Linked DNA regions of Medicago truncatula. The protein of the gene in region 1 interacts with the protein of each later gene in a pairwise test. Links are inferred from orthologs where the notes say so. Each region holds a gene or a part of one and is shown on either strand. Other genes may lie near its edges.

Region 1 (13,065 bases):
ATCGTATCCATGGATCGTGTTTCCTTTGTTCAAATTAGAATTTGGCTATGTGCACCATTGATTAGGTCTGGTTCACAGTCTGTTCTGCTCATTCACCTAGGTTATTCTAGTTTGATTGAAAAGAATGTAGAATTTATTATTACTGTCAAGATGAATTAGAACCATCTTTTCATAGATAATTTTTTGTTACTCATCTAGTTATTATGACATGTTCATTTTGTATCTTTATTCTTGATTGAAGTATCTGTTAACAGAGCCTGCCTTTTGTTTCTTTGTTGCAAATGTTTCTAATGATGCATGTTGTTAATTAGAAAAGACTGTGAAATTAGAAAAGAAACAGAGAGAAATCTGAGTTGAAAATATGCTATATTAGGGGTTGAGCTATCCCTTTTTGAGAGGGTTCAAAGTTTGAACTTCTGATCCAAAGTTTTAGATACACAACTGTTTTCAATGTAGGATGATGGATAATCGCATTACATACACTAATGGGTGGGACACATCAAAATATTACATAGCAAGGACGAAAAGCAAAAGAAAAGTAATTTACTTTACTTGTGCATGTTAGACAAAATTGGTCATCTATAATTAAATAACTAGATAGACCAATTTACAAATTCAATAAACGTTGTGGAGATCATAGTTCACATATAATAGAATTAACACAACTCACTACCTAACCATATTTAATTTATAGATTTAGCATGCTGGTATGCCCTCTGATTGGTAGGCTACAAATTTTAAACTATTTTCTTCACCTTACCATGACTTGAGCAAAGACACGGAATATTCTGTCACCTTTAGCACTCTCTCACTACCGCTCTTCCTTCACCTTACTCTCGTTTAGTTTTAGACCTATAAATATATTATTTTTCATTTACGCCTCTAAAAATCTTTATTAACATCCACACAACAAAGAGGAAGATAACAAAAAAGCTTTCCATTTCTCTTCACCAGAAAGTAAGTTATTATAGAGCTAGAATTTCAGAATCTTGTCTGTCTTTCAAAACAAACCTCAATTGTTATGGAACACAACACCAAAAGAGCAGAGAAAACAATGTAGAAAAACAAATTGAAGGCGGAAAAATTAATCAGTCGATTCAGTTATAAGCTGCATCACCAAAGCATCCTTCTTCACCATCCTCCTCCTCTTCATCTTCTCAAGAGTTCTCCTAAACAACTTCTCTCCACTCTTGCTCCACAAGAGTCCATGACAAATCCAATGCTCAATCATCCTTTGCAATTGATTTATCTCCAACTGATGACGTTTTCTTCCATGATCACTTCACAACTCCTATCTCACTTTCCTTCATCACCTGCTTATAAGAGAGTTGTTAGAAGATGAAAAACCTAGAAAAGACAATGGAAGGTACAACAGCAGCAACAGAGACCAGTAAAGGAACAAAGGAAGAAAATGAGTGCAACACCAGAGCAAGTTTCTCATTGTTTGAACTAACGAAGGTTGTCAAGTTAAAGATAAAGAGAAGCGGAGGAAGAAACTCAGGTATGATGTGATTCATGCATTAAAATAATACTCAAGATTTGAGAATAGTGCAGCCGCTAGTGCAGCCACACGCGCATTTGATGACTTACATAATATATATATATATGTATGCCAACACGAAACAGCATACAGGACAGTCTACATGTACAAACAACCCATTCAAATTGACAGCAAGAATTTGAATTTCTACAACTCAGATAGTGAATATTGATATATATCTTTCTCTTGGCTTTCACAATTACGCAAAAGAGGTCAGCAGGGTTGAGAGTTTTCAAACTTCGAGTTCACGGTGAAGAGTATGTCCCAGAGAATTTGAATTTCTACAACTCAGATAGTGAATATTGATATATATCTTTCTCTTGGCTTTCACAATTACGTAAAAGAGGTCAGCAGGGTTGAGAGTTTTCAAACTTCGAGTTCACGGTGAAGAGTATGTCCCAGAATTGATCCCAAGCAACATTATAAAAACATCTAATGTCTCATCCTCTGTTTGGGTGGTGTTCAAGTTTCTCTTAGTAAGAAAAATTCATATTACATTAGTAAGACATAAATACTTCACATAAACTTAAACCAAATAAAACATATGGCAGTCTTGCTTGCAGCAAGAATATCAGAACGAGCATAGGGATTTTGACTTTTTATATTAACCTAATGATTGGCTTGCCAAAAATGGCAGTGCATTTACCCATTTATCATAGATTTAATATATAGTCCAAAGTTGCACCACCTAGTGTGCAAAGGATTATTCTGTTTCTATGAAGCAGTCATAATATATGAATCAAAAGCTCTAGATACACTCTAAATATAGCTTTCCTTCTGAGAAAACAAAAATCAACTGAAATGGAAGAGGTCTTCTTGATCAAGAAATACAACCATATCTATCGAACATATTGATACAGTCTGATAAAATTTCTATCTAGATTCCAGTGCTGGTAAGTACAATACACCACAGCTTTCTTTTTGTTTGTTTATCATTAAACTGATTAATCCAACCTAATTAATACACTAAAATCTGAATCATAAATCATTTTACAAGATGAAATGACACTAGTTGATCTCTTACAATGGTGACAAAAAAGCTATAGATTCTTGTTTGCTGAAATTTTTCATTCATAAAATTCTGTGATATGTGTGAAAATTAGAGCAGTTAGCAACTCTGGTACTTCCAGAGGAATCTAAAACTAGTTTTTTTTACCGACGACGGCCTATCAACAAAACCAGAAACAGATGGGATTGAGAACCCAATCTCAGAAAGAAAAACAAACCCTAAAATCTTTCACTCAAGCATTAAACCAGATAACTTTGTAAAGCAAGAAGCAAAAACACACTTCTGTGTTGGTTCAACAAAAATGAACTCACAGCACTAGTCAAAGCCTACACTCAAGCAAGCTTTGTTAACCACGATTCATGAAGAAACAAAAATCAATTAATCAATTTCAACAAAAAAAAAATAGAGCAACTATGGAAGGAGTGAGGTAATGAATGGTGAGAATTGGACAGAAACCGCAAAAGACGGTGAAATTTTTTAATCTTGAAAGTGACCGACTGAGAGAACGATGGAGAGAGAGAAAGAGAGAATCGAGGGAGAGTGGCGTTTACAAGAGAGAGCTGCAGTAAAAATGTACTTTAAAGTTAACCCCCCCACCCCACACACACAATTTTTGGGGGTTTAAAAATCTCCAAAGTATTTCCCTCTTTTTTTCTCCCAAACATGGATTTATCACACTCAATTGTGACATCATGCACTTGCACCTTGTTAAAAAAAATTGGCTTTTGCATCATGGATTTTTTGAACCAAAAACATTAGTAGAATAAAGGATTAGTTTTTCTGAGGTATCTACTAGAATGATGCGATGACCATAAAAAAAAATAAAAATTAGAATGGTCTGAACATTGTGGAGACTCATTTTGCTAGGTTGCATCTCACAAAGCAGTAGACGAGTTACAAGCACAATATAACAGGATGAATATTTGATACATACGAGTAACAGCCTCGGCATGCAAGAAAATCATTATATTTGAAACACCACTTGGAATATAAAAAGTAAAAATAACATTTTACAGATAAAACAATATAGATTTATTCAAACACCACTTGGAATGTGTGCAGGTTGCACCAAGAGATGTAAGAGAGGGATAATTATAGAAAGAAAATGAGAGACATGGTACGAAAGGAATAGATAGCCAGATAACAGTGTGAAATGAATGTATTAGGCAAGGCTTCAGGTACAAAAAACCTTGGCTAGCAAAATACTCCCGTCACTTTCAACAGTTTTCAATTTGTAACCCTTAATCTTGGACATACTTGGCTAGAAAAATACTCCTGTCTTTTCACATTTCAACAGTGTGAAAAGAATCCAATTTGTATCAGAACTCAGAAGATTAAACCTCAAATCCTGGACATATAACATCAACCAGGGGGGTTGGGTAGCTCAATTGGTTTGAGCCAAGGGATAAGGAGGTCAAGTGTTCAAACCCAGGCGAAGGAGAAAAAATTTAATCCAACAACTAACCACTAACATTTGCCATTCAGAAAAAAAAAAAAAAAAAACATTAACAGCAGCAATCAAAAGAATGGTGTTTTGGCCCTGATTTAACAAACAAGTTCAATATTGTTGAGTCTCCAGGAAGGTGAGGCCCCAACCCAATAAAAATATCATTATACACCATACCAACGAACATGAGCAATCCGCAGCCAAAAAGCACGAAGGGAAACTCGAAATTGGGTAATATCATTTCCTCAACCACAAACACGACAGCAGCAAATAACTAGTTTCTATTATCAAAACCAATCAACATGCTTTACAACTAGTTTCTTAAATCAAAACCACTCCACATGCTTGACAAGTTGCAATAAATGATAAATCTACCAATCTATAGCAATTTCACATAATCAGATATACACAGTATTAACCAAACCAAGCTGTTTATATAGTAGTTACTTAATCATTTATTAAAAAAACATACACCATTGTCTGAATATTCATTCAACTGCTAAGTTAACGAAGACAATAAGTTCTATATCTCTATTTTCTCAGTCTAAACAGATTGTCTGAATAACATAGTCAGCAAAACAAAAACAACTACAAATAAAGCGAAAGAACACAAGCTAACATACATGAATATCAATCAGAACCATCTTTTGCACCAAAAGGATCATGAATTGGACCAACATCCTGACCAATATGACGCTGCACAAGCCGATTCAAATCAGCCATAACCTTATGCTCCCTTTTAGCCTTCTCTTCATAATTAAACATAGCCAAAGCACGCTTATCTTCAGCACTATAAACCTGGTTTTCTTTCCTAATACGAATTGCATTCATCCTCTGATGCCTACTACCGCTCATCACATAACCAAGTTCCTCAAACTTCGAAATCTCCTCCGCAGAAAGACCCACTTCTCCTCTCCGGGGAATACGTTTCCCTTGTTGAACATATTGCGCAATAGCATCTCCTTCACCCGGCCTAAGCGCACCACCATAACTTATATGCCCCTCAGCTCTTGGAAGCGGCATTGGTCCAACCGGTGGTTCATCATCATCCAAAGCCGGTTTCTTCTGTGACTCAAACAATTCCTTCAACTTCAAAGCCTCAGCATTCATCTCAGCCATCTTCTCCTCATCAACATCATCAATTTCTTCATTAATCTTCGCAACAGCCGAATCAGAACCCAACTCAATTTCCTCCGAACCCTCACTAACCGGTTCAGAACTTTTCTTCTTACTTTTTCTACTCCGTTTCGATCGCTTCCTCTTTCTTCCACTATCATCGTAGCCAGATTCATCATCAGTTTCACTCTCATCTGAATCACTACACCTTCTCTTCTTCCTGCTACTCTTCCTTCTCCTTCTACTACTCTTCCTTCTCCTCCTCCTCTTACGATCTTCTTCTTCGGAATTGGTATCGCTATCACTTTCACTATACTTCCTACTCTTTCTCCTCTTCCTATCTTCCACTTCTGATTCAGACTCAGATTCACTATCGCTTTCACGCGACTTCTTATAACTTTTTCTCCTCTTCTTCCTCAATTCCGAATCAGATTCTTTAGATTCCTCCGATTCAGACTCAGATTTTGCTTTCTGTTTAATCTCCTTATCCTTCTTCACATCAATTATCTCAGAAATTTCTTCAGGTTTACCATAATCTTCAAGATCATCGTTCTCGCGTCTCGGAGGACTCGGCGTAACATTCCAAATACAGTGCTTCAACGATTTCCTCATCTTCTGCCTCTTCAATCTGCGATACTCTTCATAACTCAATCCCTTCAATTCTTCATCAGATTCAGACTCGTTACGCCGAGAATCGTTGCGGTCGAGATAGGAACCGTTATTACGGTGTCCGAATTTCTTTGGAAGATGGTTTCCGTTTGAATTTCCGTTATCGTGGTGTCTAGGGTTTCGGTTTTCAGGGGATATTGAACGGCGACGGTGGCGGTCTGTGTGACGATCGTCGTAGGAGTCGTAGCTAGGGCTACGACGGTAGCGAGGGCGATCGTTGGAGACATCGGAGTCGGGAGTGCGGCGGCGATCGTTGTGTCTATGGCGTTGGTAAGGGGTTTCGATGGTGGAGGAGAGTCTTGCCATGGTAAAAATGTGCAAATTGGATTGTTATTTAGGTTCTAATATTCGCAAAAGAAACCAACCTTCTTTGGGCTGGTTTTTATTTTAAAAAATGCTCTCAATTTTTAATATAAACAAAACATTTAATAAATAAATAAGAATAAATTTAAATATTAAAATAAAAATGTAATAAACATAAATGTTTAATTTTTTTTTTTACCATTTAAAAAATGTAACAAACTAGATGAACATGTATATAATAAACATATATGAAGGCTAAGGTAAAGGGAAAGAGTGGAGATGTTGCACTTAAGTTGGACATTAGTAAAGCATATGATAGATTAGATTGGGATTACCTACGAGAAATCATGATTCAAATGGGATTTTTTATCTCGATGGGTTAGTTGGATTATGCTTTGTGTTGAGACGGTTGATTACTCGATTTTGGTTAATGGAGCATCAGTGGGTCCTATTGTGCCAGGACGCGGCCTCCGTCAGGGGGATCCTCTCTCACCTTATTTATTTATCATTTGTGTTGAAGGACTCTCCTCCCTTATTCGTGAAGCTGAACGTTGCAATAATATTAGAGGTACTTCGATATGCACAAATGCACCAGTTATTTCTCACATTCTCTTTGCAGACGATTGTTTTCTTTTCTTTAAAGCTTGTGAGAGTGAGGATGTTTGTATGAAAAATATTTTGACTACTTATGAAGAAGCTTCGGTGCAAGCCATTAATCTCCAGAAGTCTGAATTATTTTGTAGTCGCAATACTCCAGATGATTTGAGTATGTTTTTGAACTTGCTTGAGACCGGTTAATGAAAACGGTTTCTGGACCTTCTTGCCTTGCTTGAGACTCTTGACCCAAAACATCGTCTGGCTCTAAATCAACTCTTGTTTAAGTATGTGTTTGAACTTCCCTAACAAGTCCTTGGACAAATTCCATGTCAGCATTCTTCTCTGGCTCTTTGGATACTTTACACGCTCTTATTTGAGTTTTAGCCAACATCATTGCTTCTTCAATCTCTTCCCTTTCAGCTTCAATGATAGGCTCCACCTCTACACACTCCATAACATAATGTGCAAGAGTAACGTATACGTCAACACAATTTCCATTTCTTTTGCAGCGTCAACCATGTTGACAACGTCGCTATTAACAATTAATGACATCAACCCCAAATCATAATCTTCGCCAAGTTTTTTCTTCATCCACTGCATACCCTCAACACTCCCATAATTACCACACTCCACAACCATTCTTTCAATATCAAATATGCAAAAGAGGTCTAGGTCTACATCCTCCCCACACACGTCGTCCTTTCATTGTATATTCATGGTTACCTCTTCCATTTCTTACAGACCTCCCTCCATGATACATGCAAGTGATATGCCCCCATATAAACGATAACAACTTACCCTTAAAAAAACATACATCATATAAACATGCAAAATCAAACGAATTAACAACATTCAAATACTATAATATCGCATATAAACGATAATAGGATGATTAAAATGGTAAAAGAGAACGATTATTCCCATATCAACCTTATTTATAAAAAAAAAAAAAATCTTTAACATGCAAAACCATTCAAACAGGAAGATTTAGATACAAAACATAGACCAATTCCACCATTATGGTAGTTTTTTTTTAGACCAAAAACATAGCTACAAGGTTGCATAACTTATGAGAAGCGTACCTTATGTATATGGGTCTTACGGTGACAGAATGATGAAGATTGTGATATCCGCAACTGAGGACGCAAGGCGACGATTGGTGGTAGTTCATGTGACTTTTGGTTGGACGCGGTTGAAAGTGTTGAAAGGGTAAGCAAAAGACAAATGGTTGTTTTGGAATGTCGGGTGAAATTAGGGAGGTATTTGGGGAAAAATTATAAAAAAGTTATATACGTGACTTTTCTCATTCAGTCAGTTACCCTTTGCCAGCAAGCATTGACATGTCAGCATCAAATAACCACATCATCGCCTTTAACAGAACCACGAAAGACGAAATTGATTAATGTTATGCAATTTCGAAGGATAATTAAAATTTTGTTAATGTCAAAGGGTAACTGACACAACTTACAATTTCAGAGATAATTACTTATTCACTCATTTATTTTGTTGGGTTATGCTAACAAAAATACCATCAAAACATTTGTTAAAGAAACCAAAAATATCATGTTTGCATTGGATTCAACGTCATTTTAAATATTTAAAATTTAAATTCATTACTTTTCATAATTTTCTAATACAATATTTTTATTCTCTTATCCTATGCCAAAAACACTGTTTTAACATTTCTCTATTTTGTTGTTCAATACTTGTGTAAAAAAAAAAATGCAAAACAAATAGTGAAATCGGTTTTGTGGGAGTGAAAAAAGCAGCCGACATTGTTTTTACTTGATGTCACGTGTACATACATACAGTCATTAACCACCAACAAATTTCTAGAATGTCCATTACAACGCTTCGTCGTTTATCAAATACCAAACACTGCGAACAAAACAAAGACAAGAGCAACAGTAAAGTAAACTACACCAACAGACACATACACGCGAGATAATCGAAATTACGGTTTTGGTTATGGTATCTATAAACCCTAATCCAACACCACAAGGTTTCTACTTCTTCGATCCTTCAACTATGGCTCTTCCCGGTGTTAACAATCTTCCTCCACCACCTCCGCCGCCATCTACTACCGCCGCCGCAGCATCTACCGTTCCTGAGGATCCTAATAAGAAGATCCGGAAACCATATACGATTACTAAATCTAGAGAGAGTTGGACTGATCAGGAGCATGATAAGTTTCTAGAAGCTCTTCAATTGTAAGTTGGATTGAAGAAGAAATTGCTTATATTGTTAATTAATTAGGTTCTGTTTGTATCATTATTGAATATTGTGGAAAATGATTATGTCGGGAATTTTGGTGTTTTTGAATTTTCTTGATGAATTAGGGTCTGTTTGGATTTACATTTACTTAGGATTATTATTATTGAGGAAAAAGATTAGCGGCCTGTTTGAATTGGGACTTATTTGATTTTATCTACTGTTCGAGAGAGCTTATGAAAATCGCTTATGAGTTATGACTTGTTCATAAGTTGTCTTCAGCTTATTTCCATAAGCTCTTCAGGATCTTATAGCTTATTCGAAAACAATTTGACTTTATTTTATCTTTTGTTATGGAAATAGCTTATAATAAGCGCTGATATAAGATAATTGCTTATGCTATCAGCTGCTCGTTAAGTTGTTTAAAACAGCGCCGGGGTTTATGAAAATTTGCGATTGCCTATATTTTTGTGGAATTTCACTGTTCTCAAGTTTTCTTGATGATTAAAGGTGATATTTGGTCGTGAGTCAGGAATGTTAATCAGTCAAGTAATTAGTGAAGACCAATGATTTTCAATGATCAAAATTGGTTTTTTAATTGGAGTTTATCCACAAGTTTACCCAAAGAAAAAAAGGGCAGCCCAATGCACGAAGCTCCTGCATAAACAGGGTTCGGGTAGGGGTCCCACCATTTGGTGTATTGTACACAGCCTTATCTTGTTTTTTTACACAGTAGGTTGTTTTCAGAATTTGAACCCGCGACCTTTCAATCACATGACAACAACTTTACCGCCAAGACTCCCCCTTTTACAACAATTTTACCCTATTTTTCCAAAAAAGAAATTTGATATAGTTTGATTGTTACTAGTATTTATTTTTTGGTTTTGAAGAGTCTAGCTGCTAAACACTGACATAAGTGTCGTATGTTGAGAAGTGCGGAATCCTAGTTTGAATCCACATCCCTACATACACACTTCCAGTGGCAGCGCTATGTATATAATATTGTTCTTTTCTTCGTCAACTTTCTGTAAGCCTTTATCACTCTCTTTCACATCGTAATTAAAGCACCACCATTTTGTATTCAAAATCGTCTTCACTTTTCTTTTCTGGGTAGTACCAAATGAAACATTTTTCAATCTGTTTACAACAAAGTTTAAATTTTTCATTCAGTTTGTGAAGAAAGTTTGCATGTTTTTCTTTTGGGTTTATCTTTCTCTACTTAAACTTAGATTTGAAACGGCAAGGAAATGATGTTTATATAGTAAAAGGTTTGAGTTGGAAGAATATGGATTTGTGTAGTAGTGACAGTGATTTGAAGTTTTTAAGGTAAAAAAAATACAATGAAGATGGCCCCTGTCTTTTGCTTAGTTATGCATTGTGACACTCGCAACATCTTCTAAATCAAAATGGGTTGTAACAAAAGGCGTGGGTTGCATTCTAGTATGGAATGATAATCTAGACTTCTCCCCACATTCTTAATCACTTCAATTACTTGTCTACTATTATCACTCTTCTTCCTGCGTTGATTACAATCTTTATTCTGATCCTTGTAATGTTTACACTATTCACAAGAATTGGGATTTTAGTTTACTTAATACCAACTACTGGAGACTGGGAATTGAAATAATGATTTGAAAGAGGGATTGTAAGTATTATAGTTTATAGAAATAGAAATTGTCCTTTATTTTCAGGTTATGGCCTCTCGTGTTTATGGTTTATTTATTTACAACGTTTTTTACTTAAACTTTTCAGCCACAATAATAATAGTAACCTCTTACAGTCTTTCTCTTCTAAGGATCCCTCATCGAACAAGTACCACTGCTTGAAGTTAATACCCGAGTTATAAGGCTGCTGCCCCCTTCATTTAAGTAACAGTCTGCAAAATGCAGATTCTGCTATGAAAATGTGTTTTAGATGGATTCTTAGGTCGTATGTGAATGCATGATTGGGGATGTGAGGAAAGACCTGATTCAATCATGATTCAAACAGTGTTTCATTATCTAATTTTAATTATAGACATCGTTTCATCTACATTAATTTTTTTATAGCTTGCAGATTATGCGAAGATTAATAATTGAAAGAATTAGGGTTTATATTCTTTCGAAACTCCATGGTTGCATAATTCACTACCTTGAGAAAAATATTAGAAAATATAATGGTCACGGATACGAGTTTAGGGAAATCCATAGAATTGACATTGATTCTACCATTTGTGAGTGTAGGCTGTAGTAGATTGTGTTCTCCAGTAAGTGCTATGTCATGTTTTGCGGTGTCTGATTAGTGGTTTATACCATGTTTTGTGGTGTCTGGTTAGTGGTTTATTTGTGCTCATTTTCTTCTGTGTTACTGATGATTAATTTCAGATTCGATCGTGATTGGAAGAAGATCGAAGCCTTTGTTGGTTCAAAAACAGTTATCCAGGTAATTATCATAAAATTCAAAGGGAAACAAAGGACAAGTTATTATTGGACGTTAGATGGTTTTGGTTTCTTTCAGAGCATTTAAATAATAAATTTATTCAGTATTTCATCATTCTTAAATTTTGAATTCAATACTGTGTATTTTGCGAAATTTATTCAGTGTCATTACTGAATATATACTTGAATAGAACAGTGACATGGTGATTTCCAAACAGTACTTGGGGACTTATGTTAATTGTGATGTTTTTCTTAAAAAACCTGACAGTTGATGATGGGTTAAGAAATAAACCTTTTGGTTGTTACTTTTGTTGAATGGTTAATTAAGATTAAACGAAAGGTGATAAAGTCATTTACTCATCTTGAATTATGTAATGAGTGTAGTGTTTGTTTTTATCATTTTTCCTTATGATGAATATGTTGACATTCCTTATATGTTCCTCAAATTTTCCTTTATTTACCCTTCTATGCATAATTATTTTTTGTAGATACGAAGTCATGCACAGAAGTATTTTCTCAAAGTTCAGAAGAGTGGAACAAGTGAACATGTACCTCCTCCTCGGCCAAAGAGAAAAGCTGCTCACCCATACCCTCAAAAAGCTCCCAAAAACGGTAAGCGTACTCGACCATATTTGATTACCAGTCGCCTTTGTCTATTGTATGAATTATGGAATAACACTGGTTTTTATTTTTGCATTATCAGCTCCTACTGCATCCCCCCAAGTCATGGGGACATTGCAACCTTCATCTGCTTTTGTTGACCCAACTTACATTTATAGCACAGATTCATCATCTGTGCTTGGTACACCAGTTACTAATCTGCCTTTATCATCTCTGAATTTTAATGCTCCACCGCCAGCCAGTTTGCCTCAAGTGACTACAGGTTTGTTTGTTCTGAACGCCATTATGCTTTTTTCCCTACATTTATCATTAAAAATTGGACTTTTTCACTTTGTTTGTTCTAGCAACGATGAAAGTTATGCTAACTTGGAAAGTTTTTTGATTGTTAGATGACACGGGATGGACTGGATCTGGACAAGCCGTTCCTGTTAATTGTTGCTATAGCAGCAGCAATGAGAAGCAAAGTAGTAAAGGGATTAATGAAGGCAACACGGGCAAGCCTGTTAAAGGTTAGAATTCTTCTTTGTTTCTAATTTGAACTTGATTCTGCTTAACACAATAGCTTAATAAATTAATCTTATAAAGGATCCTATGATTGTTTGTAATAGTGTTGTGCTTCTTGTGATTTGATTGAATTAACTATAACCAAATTCTGAAAACCATAGTTCGATTGTTTTGACATCTCCCAATTGTCTGTCATACTTATGCAATGGTGGAAGTTTTCTACAAGATTCAACTTGGTGAAAATAAATATTTTCATTTATTAGGATTTTAACAAGTGGAGGAAGGAACTTGTGTGTGAGGTTTTTATCAGTTAGACTAGGCTTATTTCATCGTAGTCTAGTATATCCACGCTGAACTCATATGTGCTTGGCCAAAGAAATTGCGGTCCTTGTAAAGTCTCAATCGTGAACAACAAATTTAATAGATTCATAAAGCTACAAGAGGGGTGTGTGGCAGGGATTGAGCGAGTGGGATATTGAAGTACTTGAGTGTTAACTTTTAATTTTATTGTGATCTGCATGAATCTATCTATGCAAATACAACATTATTAAATTGAACTGAAGGATGAATTCTCCCTGGCCGAAAATACAGGCCGAAGATATTATGGGTTTCAATGAAATGTATCTATGAT
Region 2 (13,044 bases), on another chromosome or scaffold:
TTATTTTAGTTTTAAATTTTTTAATCATAACGAGTTGCTTGACGTGATATTTAGTTTCAAGAGTTTCGGAAGCGATCAATTCCACATATATAAAAATCTGAGTAAAAACATTGCTTGCATGACCAAAATAACATGTATATGCAAGTCGGTGGGGACGTTCTAAGTAATTTTGTGCAGAAGTAACATGTTTGATTTTTATCAGAAAAGCTTCAAGCCATAATTTTGATATTCTGAAATGGATTTAATTAGAGAAGCACGTGCATACTATTATAGCTAAGAGGATTAATATCTCTAGCAGGAATTACATTTGATGTTACAGAATACATTTGTACAAAGTACAAAACATTAGTTTCATCCCAATCAACTGTTTCAGCAGGTTATTAGTTATAACAACCTCTGAGAATATATCGGATTGCGGAATAGCCTTAGCGTCGATGTTTACTTGTTTTCTCCTCCCTTCTCCTTTTCTTATGCTTAGATTTCTCTTTGGACCTGTGCTTCTTAGAATGCACCTTGTCCGAGTGGCTTTTATGATGAGATTTTTTACTCTTTTTCCGTTTCTCTTCATGTAGCTCATCCTCAGAAGATTCATATGACTGCCTCTTTTTCCGTTTTTCTTCATGTAGCCCATCCTCAGAAGATTCATATGACTGCCTCTTTTTCCGTTTTTTTTCATGTAGCTCCTCCTCAGAAGATTCATATGACTGCCTCATTTTCCGTTTTTTTTCATGTAGCTCCTCCTCAGAAGATTCATATGACTGCCTCTTTTTCCATTTTCCTTCAAGTATCTCCTTAGAAGATTCATATGATTGCAACGATGGAGGCCTCTTTGGACCATAAATAGCACGGTGTTCCCTAAAATCCGGACTAGTAGAAGGCTCTTCATCAGGATTAGGAGGAAGGTAAGGTCCAGTCTCATCCATCCTTGGACCAATAGCACCTCTGCCTCGCTTCTTCCTGCACCAAAATGGAGTTTCCTCAGCTTTAAAGAAATTAAAGAGAGACAGATTATAAGTAAATAAATAGGTATTTTAGTCCTAGAAATTGTAACAATCAGTTAACTCAGTTCCTCAAATTTGTGAAATAGCAATTTAGTCTCTTAAATTTAAAAATATCAATCAATTTAGTCTTTTTTTCAAATTTTGCACCACAATTTAAAGGTTTTACACTTGTTTTGATGCAACAAAAGACTATTTAATTCTATATGTATGTCTTTCATTGGTTTTGATGGATGTTCAATAAAGAAATATTTTGATACAGGGACTAGACTGATTAATAGTATTCTTTAATTTAAGACACTATTTTGCTATTGCGTAAATTTGAGGGGCTGAATAGCCATCCCTTATAGTTTCAAGGACTGAATTGTCAATTTACTCAACAGTAGATATTTTGAAGGCATTCATACATGCAGATAAAATATCCGAAAGTATAAGAGAGTAATAATACCTTGAGTGTAGAAACTCCTCAAGCTCTTCATCCTTTAAACCTTCTTGAGTATGCCCGTATTCATTTTTAGTTGAGCATGAAGCAGAGGCACTAGTGCTTCTATCATCCCCGGCGTGTCTTTCTGCGCTTCTTGATGTGTTATGATCCATATGCCTTTTGTCATCACTTCTTTTATCTTTTGATGAGCCTGTAACTCGTTTATCTAGCTCCAATTCTTTCTCCCGCGCTCGCCACATTTCATTTACTTCGACAGCTCGATTTGCTGGTAGAAAGCACCAAAAGAAATTCAGTTCCATTAATATAGATAAACTATGAGGTCAGCATATATACGATCATGGTTATTTTAATGTCACAAATATTCAAGAAAAGAAGTCTCATATTCGACATGGGGTGCTTCAATTACATTGTGTTTGAAATGACAAATTGACCCAGTTAAGCCCTTGCCATTACTTTAAAAGAACATAATAGTCTTTGCACAATAATTTTGTTTTTCTTCTCAACTGTCCAGTTAACCAAATGAGAGAAGTTTTCGTAATTCTTTCTTTCCTTTTTCTCTCCATCCTACTTATATATAGCCTATAGTTATGAATCCCAAATTGCAACGTGTGTAAGGCAAAACCAAAACTGCTCTAGCCGGATAGCAGATAATGATATGACTGCTACACTTAAAATTTATATTACACATATTTAAGTTATGACAACTCAAATTTAAAAAATAAAAACTCAAAATTGAAGCTATATATTCAGAGGGCAAGATATCTACATCAACAACAACAATCAATCCTTTTCCCCCTAAATGGAAAGATATCTAAATGAAGAAAAGGAAAAAAATTAAAAGGTCGATAAAATAGAGGTTTCATAGCAGATGAAAGGGAACCAAACCAAGAAAGACGACTAGAGCAGTAGGTGGGTGTGGAACAGAGGACACGAAGAAGATCATAGCAGAAAGTGCAGGAGTAGAGGTGTGGCTTGAAAACACCAAAGTATGAGTGTATAACCAAGAGGTATGTGTTTTTGTAAAGAACCAAACAAGGGTTTCAAACCTATTTTTTTTCTAAACAAAGGAACGGCAACTCCTCTTTGTATAACAAAAACATTCAAATTGAGGGCAAAATATTCGGGCTTCAACTTCATGATTTAATACGATTTCAGCCACTATGGCAGCAGCGACAGTGACTACCCTGAATAATAATGTGATGCTTACTACAGATTGCCACTATGGGGAGATATTAATAAATAGTAGTAACTATCATCATATCTCATTTTCTCTCTAACTTCCCTAAGCTTCATTTTCTTGCTAGCCATTTTCTCTCTGCGTCCAATCAAACCATTAGTCACAATTTGTGCTTTGGCTTTGCATGAAACTGCAAGTACTGGAGTCATATTGGCTTATTGTGATAGTATCTAAGCCATATTGAAATATCGTATAAATATTTTTAAAGAAAACGTTTTCTTAACTTGTGCCCTTCAGCTATATTTGAAAATTAAAATACAACCTGTTAAATGACAATTTGCTTGAAAATCCAAAAAACATTTGATATGTTTTTATTCAAGTAGTTAGATATAATTTAACAGTAATAAATATTTCTTATGTTGTGACCTTGGGACATAGATAAACAGTGGTTTGGCTCCTCTAGTAGTGTTTAGTTGGGTGAAATGGCCAGGAGGGGAGGGGGGGCAAAATCCATTCTCCCTGAATTTTCACTCCCTATCAATGTTGGCGTGGTTTGATAAATAAGTTTTACTTTTCCAACTCTCCCCCTTGTGAATCAAACTAGAGGAGACTTATTCCCGTCCACTGCTATGACCCAAATATTTGTATGAGGGGGAGCACTAGTATGAAAAGTCTGAAAATGTAATTGTTAATTGAAAATTTGAGTGAATTGTAAGTTTGTAACAACTTCCTAGTTTACCATGTATATGCATGTATGTTTATGTATCTTATCATAATCTCAACTACAGATTTCCTAATCAATGATTGTAACCTCGCTAGTCCATATAATTTACAACCCTCATTTTAGTGGATCCAAGTCCCATAACTTTGTAAGGAAGCACCTCAAGTGCACCAGTTATGTACTGGATGTATACCTAGGGCGGAAAGCAGTCATATACGATACCTGTTAAAACTTGACCCACACATTAGTGCATGACTGCGTGTAAAGACACTAAAGAGAAATCTCTTAAAAAAAGACACTAATGAGAAGAATGTCCGCTTAAAAATAACTCAGACCAACCCTTGATTTTTGGCACAAAACCAAAAAGAAGTGAATAATGATCTCTATACATAAGCAAAAAAAAAAAAAAAAAAAAAAAAAAAAACAAGCCCATACGTCCTATGAATCTCTCTTTAATATATCAAAATATTTGATTCTCTTGAATAAGCCATGGATACACTATAAGAACTGTTTGAAACTCAAAGGGCATACCTAGCTTTCACCAAATAGATCAAAAGACAGATCTATAAAATATATTTTCCATTTCTCATATAATGATAAAACTTTCAAAGAACAACGACAAAGAAACAGACTGATTAAATCTATTAAGAATATTTCCAGTTTCCATACAACGATAAACCTTCATCGAAAGCACACCCATAAAACATAGGGATATAGAGCAATAATAACCAAACTCTATCTAAAATTAGCCAGTAAGGAAGAACCTTGTTGTACCCCACGTACGGTAGCAGTGAGAAAACGTGAGTTTGGCCGACTCCTTACATTAGGCTTTTGAAGATAAGCCAGAACACCCTCTTTTTCAGACTGCCGCCGCAATTCAGCTGCTTCCCTCATAAGCATAGCAGCTAATCTGTTTTCAGTCTCCAAATCCATCTAATCATATTGGCCAAAAACAAAGTAAGGAACACTCAAAATGAGACTTTGACTAAACGAATGAAATAAACAAATTCAGAAACAAAATCTTCAGATATTCCAAATTTCTCAGAGTTCTTAATGCAAGAAATCTTTTCAAAGAACCAAAAAGCTTTTGGTTATTACTTCTACTACAAATACCATTCTGTCTTTTCTATTCATACTAGGAAAGACAGACATTGTCCGTCTGTTCGCTTTTTCTATTATGCATTGTTTAGTGAAAAACCCAACAAAGAGATACCTTTCTCTATTTCAAATTGTATCCAAATCCCTAAGACATTTAGGCTATAATAAAATGTAGCACACAAGTATTAGGGCATGTTTAGATTGACTTATTTGAGTTTATCTACTAACATAAGTTTTGTGAAACTGCTTGGAAGAACTTATTAAAACAGCTTTTGTCATTGTTCACAAGCTAATTTCAGCATACTTTCATAAGTTCTCTTATATAACTTATAAAAACAGCTTATAGCTTATATCAAAACAATTTAACTTCATTTTATCTTTTGCTACAGAAATAACTTATACATAAGCACTTAACATGATAAGAACTTGTGCTATAAGCTGAAAATAAGTTGTTTATCCAAACATCCCCAAATTCACATTAAAGAAAGGCCTCAGCCCTCAACATATTGATGAACCATGATGATTATTACACAGAAAAACTATAGCATATTCATCTACATGATGAATTCGACCCATTTTGATCTTCCAACACATTAGGGTTCAACATCAAATCAAAGAGAAAATAAAAAACAAAAATTTAAAATTGAACCCAGAGAGTGCAAAATCAAACATTTCATTAAACCCTGAAATTCTACCACCATACGAACTCAATCAAAGATATAAAGGATGTAAATTGAAGCGAAGAAAGATATGAAAGTAAATAAAAACTAAGTTTTTTTTTTTGCAGATAGGAAGAATTAGAGGCGAATTAAAACACCAAAGTTGAAATTGATGAAGACCCATTAAATTAGGGAAGAAAAAGATTCGAAATTGGGAATAAAAAAAACTTGGTCGGAAAGAAGCTTACTTTGTCTCTGTCTACGGTGGCACCGTCGAAGGGATCGCTGTTCTCTTCAACGCTCGTTATTCAAAAGATCATGAATTTTATATTTATTTTTTTGACATAATCTGATGACTTAATTTTAATTTTAGGCAAGAGTTTAGTCTTTTATTTTTATTTTTATTTTTATTTTTATTTTCATTTTCATTTCAAATTTGTCATTTGAACCATTTGCATATAAATTTTCAAGCTTAAAATTCATATTTTTATTTTCTTATGATCTCTTAATTTTTAAATTTATGATCTTTTATCTATTTTTGTATATGAATATTATAATTGAACAATGAAACACATATACTCCTCGGATTACTCGTGTCTCGGTGTCGGACATGAGTCGTGTCTCACACCAACACATATAGTTACACTTAATTATATAATTTTCTCAAATTATTACATGTCAATGATTATGTTGTGTCTGGTGTCCGTGTCTGTATCCACGCTTCACCTGTTGATAATGTCTCAGACCAACACTTGCATAATCTTCTTCCAAGATGGTTCTCAGGTCGTAACGAAGGTTATTTATTGAGAGTCGTGTTCACCTCGTTCGCACGAACAAAAGAAAGTAGGATATTAGAAATATTTGATACCTTCTATTGAAAAAAGAGAAAGAATCGATTGATTTTTGTTGTATTGAGGGAGAGAAGCAATAGAGTTGCAGAGTTGGAAGTTGCGAGAATGTGACGAAGATGCCTGCACGAATGTAACACACCGGATTTATTTTGTTCTTTTCTTTTTTTATAATTTAAATAACACCTTTTAAAAGTAAATGATGTGGCACAAGACCATTAGATGATTGTGTAAACTGGCTTTGCACAATCATTGCACCATAATTAAACTCATGTACAATATTGCACAATATTGGTTGGTTGGTTAAGTAAAGTGAAACTTAGGGAGATAATCAAAATTCAATTTCAATGACAATATATAACACCAAATTATAACACGTTGCTTATATTTTTCAATTACATCAACAAAATATAAAATAAAAAATAAAAAATAAAAAAGCACCCCAATTCTCTAATGCTTCCGCACACGCAAAGTCTGAGAAGGGGTCTAACTAATTGATGTACTGTATACAACCTTGCTACGTTTTATTCAAAAATACCCAAGACTTGAACTTATGACCACGTAACAACAAATTAAATTTATCTTTACGCCAAAACTCATCATTTATACCGTCAATATAACAAATAGTAGTAATTTCATATCTTTGTAACAAACCTCAATTACAGGCCCCACACTCTTTTATTTTAAAATATACATTCTATTCCTTTGAAAAGTAAAACTACGTAGTAAAATAAACTCTCATTCCTTAAAACATGTTTGAATTACAATCTTATCTATTAAAAATTAAGTATGTGATATGCTTTAATCCATTTTAAAATAAATATTGTATAATATTTACTAACTATGTGTCACCATAAAAATAATTTATTTCTTTATAGAATGTCAATATTAATTTCAGTATTTTATTATGAATATAACGATTCAAAATATAAAATACATTTTTATGGATATAAAGATTCAAAATAAAAATTCATTTTTAAGTAGCCATATTTTATATGATTTAATGTACACAAAAAAAAAAGGCTTTAGTAACTTTTCTAAGAAATTAATTTTATATTGTACTCTTTCAAAGTTTATAATAGGATTTAAAATTATATGTTAATGATTTTTTTTAGGGGAAAATCACATGTTAATGATATTGTGAATTAAAATAGAGAAAAATATGCTTTTAAATTTTGATTATATATTCCTTCAAAATTTTTTTTTTGATTATATTAAAATGGACCTCTAATATCATTTTTCTCTACATAATTTTTGTATATTAGATTTTCGACGTGTGGCTATTAAAAATATTATTATTATTATTTTTGAAAAATATTAAAAAATATTATTAAGGGAAGGAGTCGTACATTTTAACATAAAAGATCAAATATAGGTAATTTAAACTTCTTTCAAATGGAGTGTAGTTCGATTTTTTCCAATAAATTTTGCATAAGATAAGCGAGGAGTGTATATTTTTTGACATCGAAGAGAACATCAATGAAATTTACTCCGTGTCTCTTAAAAAATTGATATTCAATATATTAGTGTTTAATACATTTATAGAATAATGATATTGTTAGCGATTTTATTAAACTGGGTTTTTCTATTAAAAAAAACAAATTGATCAATTTTAAAGATCTATATTATATATAAAGAAAATTATCCCAGCTTTTTTGGGTTGAATTATTTCTTTCAAAAATGTCATTGATTTTTAATACAAATATACTATACATAAAGAAAACTATCCTTTTAGCTTTTTTTGGCTGAATTTTTCTTTTCAAAAATGCCTTTGATTTTTAATACAAATAACACATTAACAAATAGATAAAAATAAATTTAATATACGTAAAGAAAACTATCTCTTTAAGCACTTTTATTCTTTTCCTAGGTGTACTCGTCACGACTGTCACTTGTCCACCTGCAAATTCCATCAGAGACAATATATCAGTTGTTAACATTACAAAAACCAATGGCCGGTATCTCTCACATCATAACTCTTAAACAGTTGATGTTTAGACAAAAGCATAACTAATAATGTTTATAACTTGGCTCAATCCGGTATCTCTCACATCATTAGTTTGTGTGTATTCTATATGATTCTATATTTAAGTATCAAAAAGAGTTCATATTAACTTGATCAAGCATCTCTAACCCTAAAGGATATATTTAGCTACTTACTTTTATAATAGCCTTGCAAAAATGGAAGAAAAAACGAAGATTCATGACAAGATTCACTCAACAAATCTTGCAAAGAATTCACTTCTAACACTCTTGCTTCATGTTTTCTCGGGTCACAACCCAACTTCTTTTACTATGCATGTAACTTGCTATTAAGTTTCTATTCATACCTTCTTTTCTTCATTATGCTAGCACATTAATTTCTTTTCATTCCTTGGCCTTCAAAACATGTCACTAATTGACAAATAATAATAATAAAATACAATTCGACTCAATCAATCAAAATTGATAATTTATTCAAAATAACTTTAAATTAAATATTAAACTAATAAAAATAGAATTAAAACTTAATTAAAAAGACTCTAAAAATGTGATATGATGGACTGTCATCAAAAAGCTTCTTTTAGAAACATCAACGATCACCACTATATTTTGTGCATAAAAGGAAGATAATTATTTCACCACTCTAGAAGATAATTCCCGAAACTTTTGGGATGTATCTAGGCTAAAATATGTTTTTGGTCCCTGCAAATATAGCGAGTTTGGGTTTTAGTCCCTGGTAAAAAAAAATTTTGTTTTTCATCCTCGCAAAATTTTTTGTTTTTTAAAAAAGTCCCTAGACCCATTGAAGCAGCCATCTGTCACACTGATGCCGACGTGGCGCACGCTGACTGTGCATAAGTGGCCATATGACATCTGACGTGGCAATTACAATTTTTAAAATTAGAAAAAGGGTTTTTTAATTTCGAAAATTGATTTTCTGAAATTTAAAATACATAAAAAGCTTTAATTTAATTGAAATGTAATTAAATTTCGAAAATTAATCAGTATAGAGCAAATCTGAATGAACAACAGCAACATTTGCTTTGTGGGATTGAAACTCGAAAGGAATCAAGATTCAAGAGAGAAAAAAGCAGGTGGAGGACAACAACAACATTTTTCTTTTGCTTTAGATTCAATTATTTTATTTATTTTTCGTAAAAAAACTACACAGCATGAACAATAGCTCTGCAACATACTCTTCTAACCCATAAGCAATAGATAAATTTGTGCAGCTTCCCCAACACCATCAGCAAGCAATTCAAGACGAATATAAAGCTTGTTGCTAATCTCAACCACCATATTAAGCTCTTCCTCTTGCTCAAGAGCAATAACACCGTTCAAAGCAAGCTTCCTCCCAACCAAATTGTCTTTGAATCCATTACAAACCAGAAAAGCTTCTCTGTTACCTTTACACAAACAGCTCAAAGCCAAAAGCAATTCAGGCTTCGATCCAGCTTCCAACCCCAACCTAAACTGCCAACCAAATTCAACAATATCCTCTACAAAAAACTTGTCCTGATTACACTTCGAAGGAACAACAAACCCATTTAGGAGAGATGAGAAGAGAGGACGCAATTTGGGAGTTTCAGATTTTCCCCCTTTCTCTTTTATGTCTTTTTTTAATTCAATTAAAATAAAGTTATTTATTTTTAAATACTGAAAATGATTTTTGAAATTTTAAAATTTGTTTTTTAATTGATAAAAGCCACATCAGATGCCACATGGCTACTTATGCACAGTCAGCGTGTGCCACGTCGACATCATAGTGACAGATGGCTGCTTCAACGGGCCAGGGACTTTTTTAAAAAACAAAAAATTTTACGAGGATGAAAAACAAATTTTTTTTTTACCAGGGACCAAAACTTACACTCTCTATATTTGCAGGGACTAAAAGCATATTTTAGCCATGTATCTATCATACATATACATTACGGGTAAAACAGTTTTCCGAAGATAACTTTCAAACCCTTCGGCTATGTATATATTATAGATAAAAACAGAATTTCGGGGTCCAAGAGATATTGAGAAGTGTAAAAAGAAATCATTTGGTCTCGGGTCGAGTCCAACCTCAAGCCCAATTTGAACTCGAAATGACGAAAAGAACCCTTGAATACCGTTTCTTTTATTCTCTTACCAGCCTGTCTGAATCGTAACGGCTAGTTACACGGGACTTTAAAATTCTTCGAACAATCTAAACTTGTTGTTACAACACCAAAACAAAAACAACACTGTGTTACTGTAACGCTCTTAACAAAATAATGTCAGAAAATCGATTCTTGCCTATAATTGAAGAAGAGGAAATAGAAATTGACGACGATTTCTACGAGAAGATCGAAGCACCTAAGTTTGTCGACCTCACCAAACCTGATAAACGCCGTCCTGATGATGACCGTCACTGGTTCTGCGCTCGCTTTGGTAATTATTTTTTTTATTTTTCATCTATGAAGCACTCACACAGACACCAGACACAATAGTGACATGTGTCCGTGTCAGACATTCACATATGTGTCTCACATTGGATATGCAGTGTTGTAGATGTTTTCATTTTGATAATTGGAACTCAATTCTCAGGATGTGACCAAAAGCATGAAGAAGAGTTTGATTCTGAAGCAATTTACAAGAATTTTGTTCTTCGGGTATCTTCTAGACCTGACTTGCTTTATTGATTTTGGTTTTGGTCATAAGAACAATTAATTAGTAATGAGTAATGTGTAACGAGTATTTCTCAAATTTGTGTTGGATTTTCAGGTTATGGCAGCTAGAAGCCCCAATGTTCGGCTTAGAAAAGCATTGAATCGAAGAGAAAGAGAAGCGAGGTAGCCAACTATTAACACTTGTATCGTGAACAAATTTTTCAAATAATTTCTTAGTATAGTAGGTAAAGTTGGGGTTTTGAAAATGGTTTTCAAATGCAATCTAGGTTATGTTTAGATAAACAGCTCAATTATGCCCTTTAAGTGTTCTTCATATAAGTGCTTAAGCATAAGTCTATAAGCCATACGCCATTTATATGACAAAAGATGAAACAAAGTCAAATTGTCTTCATATAATCTATAAGTTGTTTGCATATTTTATCCTGTAGAGCTTATGGAAATAAGCTGAAAATAGCTATGAACATGCCATAAGTGGTTTCCATTAGTTCTCACAAAAGGTATAATAAGTGTTTATGCCGGTAGATAATCTCAAATAAGTCGATCAAAACAAGCTGCTAGTCATAAACAATATCAAGAATCCTGATGTGATTGGACTAAAAATCTTGTGTAGTAGAGCCTTTAAAGTGACACAATTTTTCGCTGTTGTTATTTTTCAGTTCGAATTTGAAGTGCCCGAATACTGCTCCTGCAAAGCCAAGGATGTCAAGAATGGATTTCATTTCCTCATTGTCACACAAGGTGACTGAGAATAAAGTGAAAGTTGTCAAACCTCTTTCTAAGGTTGCTGCAACCCCAAAAGCCAAGGTGAAGCAATCACCCTCCGTGAGTAAGGCTTTGACCACTCCAAGGAATCAAAAGAAGGTTTCTAATTTGGAACAGTTTAGAAGTGTTCAGAACAAGAAATCATTGACTGTTGCTGTGTCGAAGCCTAAGAGCAGGGTAGTGGCTAAGGCATTGGTTTTTAACTCACCAAAGAAGGTGGTTGGGACAAAGAGTTCTGTGGAATTGAAAACATCCATGAAAGCATTGTGTTCTGCAATGAAGAAGCTTGAATTTAATGGAGTGAAGAAGAATGGAGAAGGATGTAACAACTCATTGCCAGTGGGTTCCTCTAGAAAGGTGCAATTTAAGGGACGAGAGGTTAAAAGCCGTGTGTTTGATTCATTGTATTCTAGTAATCGAAACGAACCAGAAAATAACACTGTTAAATGTCTAAAAGAGAAGAAAGCGAAAGCTATGGAGAAAAACCATGTTCCCGTGCCGCATGAAAGTGACTCTAGTGAGTTGGAGACGGAAGAAAAATCAAGGAGTGACTCTCTAGAAAGAGGAGAGAGTTCAGTTCTAACTTTGTCAGAAGCTTCTAGAGATGATATTACCTCACTGTCAACTTCGAAAGAAGAAGAGAAGAGCTCAGTTCTAACTCTGTCACAAGCTTCTGGAGATGATGTTACTTCACTGTCAAGTTCAAACGAAGAAGAGAAGAGTTCAGTTCTAACTCGGTCAGAAGTTTCTAGAGATGATATTACCTCACTGTCAAGTTCGAATAATGAAGAGAAGAAAACTATTGAAGAGAGTGAAAATGAAGAGAAAAGGATCACAGTCTCACACAAGAGAAGAATTCCTGAAGCCAAAAAGAGAAAGGCTGTAGGAAGTTCAATGTCTTCTGATGATAAAGAAAATGAGATTCAACTTAATGAGAATGATGACAAGGAAAACTCTTCAGCGCCTTGTGAGAATATGTAAGTAATTTGATTTGTCTCAAAGTATGTTTTATGCCGGCTTTTTTTTTAGTTTCTTAAACTTAAAGTAATCATTAAAAAAATTGTAGCCGCAGAGATGTAAGCACCATCAATGACGGTTCCAAAAAGAACATTCTTGAAAGCAAGCAGGAGGATGGAAAAATACATAAGGTTTGGCCTAGTTTAGAATCTCACTGATGTTGTTTTAACTTCCCACCTACTTGATTGATAATCTTTATGACCTTGAAACAGAAATCTACATCGACAACAACTGGTTCTCAAGTTGTAAAATACAGAAAATTAAAGCCCACAAATCCTAAGCCGTTTAAGTTCAGAACTGATGTAAGTAAGGGCTTCTGTTCTCATTGGTTTATTTAGTTTAGAAGTAAGTTGAAATCATCTAGCGTGTGATTTATGATGTATTGTATGCCGCAGGAAAGGGGAATTCTCAAAGAAGCAAAGCTGGAGAAAAAAATCACATCACCCTTGAAAGAAATCACTGCTAAAGATGGCAATGCAATAAAGAAACATAAGAATGTAAGCAATTAAGTTTCATTGTGAACCTCAATCAACCTTTTATTATTTGCTTTTGTATATCTAAAATTTGCCTTTTCTTTTATCTTCCTTTCAGAAGAATGAAACTTGTACAGCACAAAGTGATCAAGACTATTATAGCAGTTGCAGCGAGAATTCAAACCAAACAACTCAACAAAATCAAACTG

Evidence for each region.
Region 2: the proteins of NKAP-like protein (region 1) and high mobility group nucleosome-binding domain-containing protein 5 interact in a two-hybrid assay, tested with the Arabidopsis thaliana proteins (2 studies listed by BioGRID). The link is inferred for Medicago truncatula from reciprocal best matches to the Arabidopsis thaliana genes AT4G02720 and AT4G33690.

Annotation. Positions count from the first base shown.
Region 1 is NC_053049.1:11,042,842-11,055,906, forward strand, and holds NKAP-like protein, read right to left. Parts: upstream 6,141-13,065; 5' UTR 6,088-6,140; coding exon 4,627-6,087; 3' UTR 4,620-4,626; intron 1,314-4,619; 3' UTR 923-1,313; downstream 1-922. Other genes in the region: protein REVEILLE 5, read left to right, coding at 8,650-8,891, 11,256-11,313, 11,798-11,921, 12,013-12,192, 12,320-12,439.
Region 2 is NC_053043.1:2,417,299-2,430,342, reverse strand, and holds high mobility group nucleosome-binding domain-containing protein 5, read right to left. Parts: upstream 5,451-13,044; 5' UTR 5,347-5,450; intron 4,275-5,346; coding exon 4,106-4,274; intron 1,709-4,105; coding exon 1,447-1,708; intron 958-1,446; coding exon 426-957; 3' UTR 221-425; downstream 1-220. Other genes in the region: E3 ubiquitin-protein ligase RBBP6, read left to right, coding at 10,188-10,344, 10,501-10,565, 10,678-10,745, 11,240-12,322, 12,412-12,493, 12,575-12,664, 12,758-12,859, 12,954-13,043.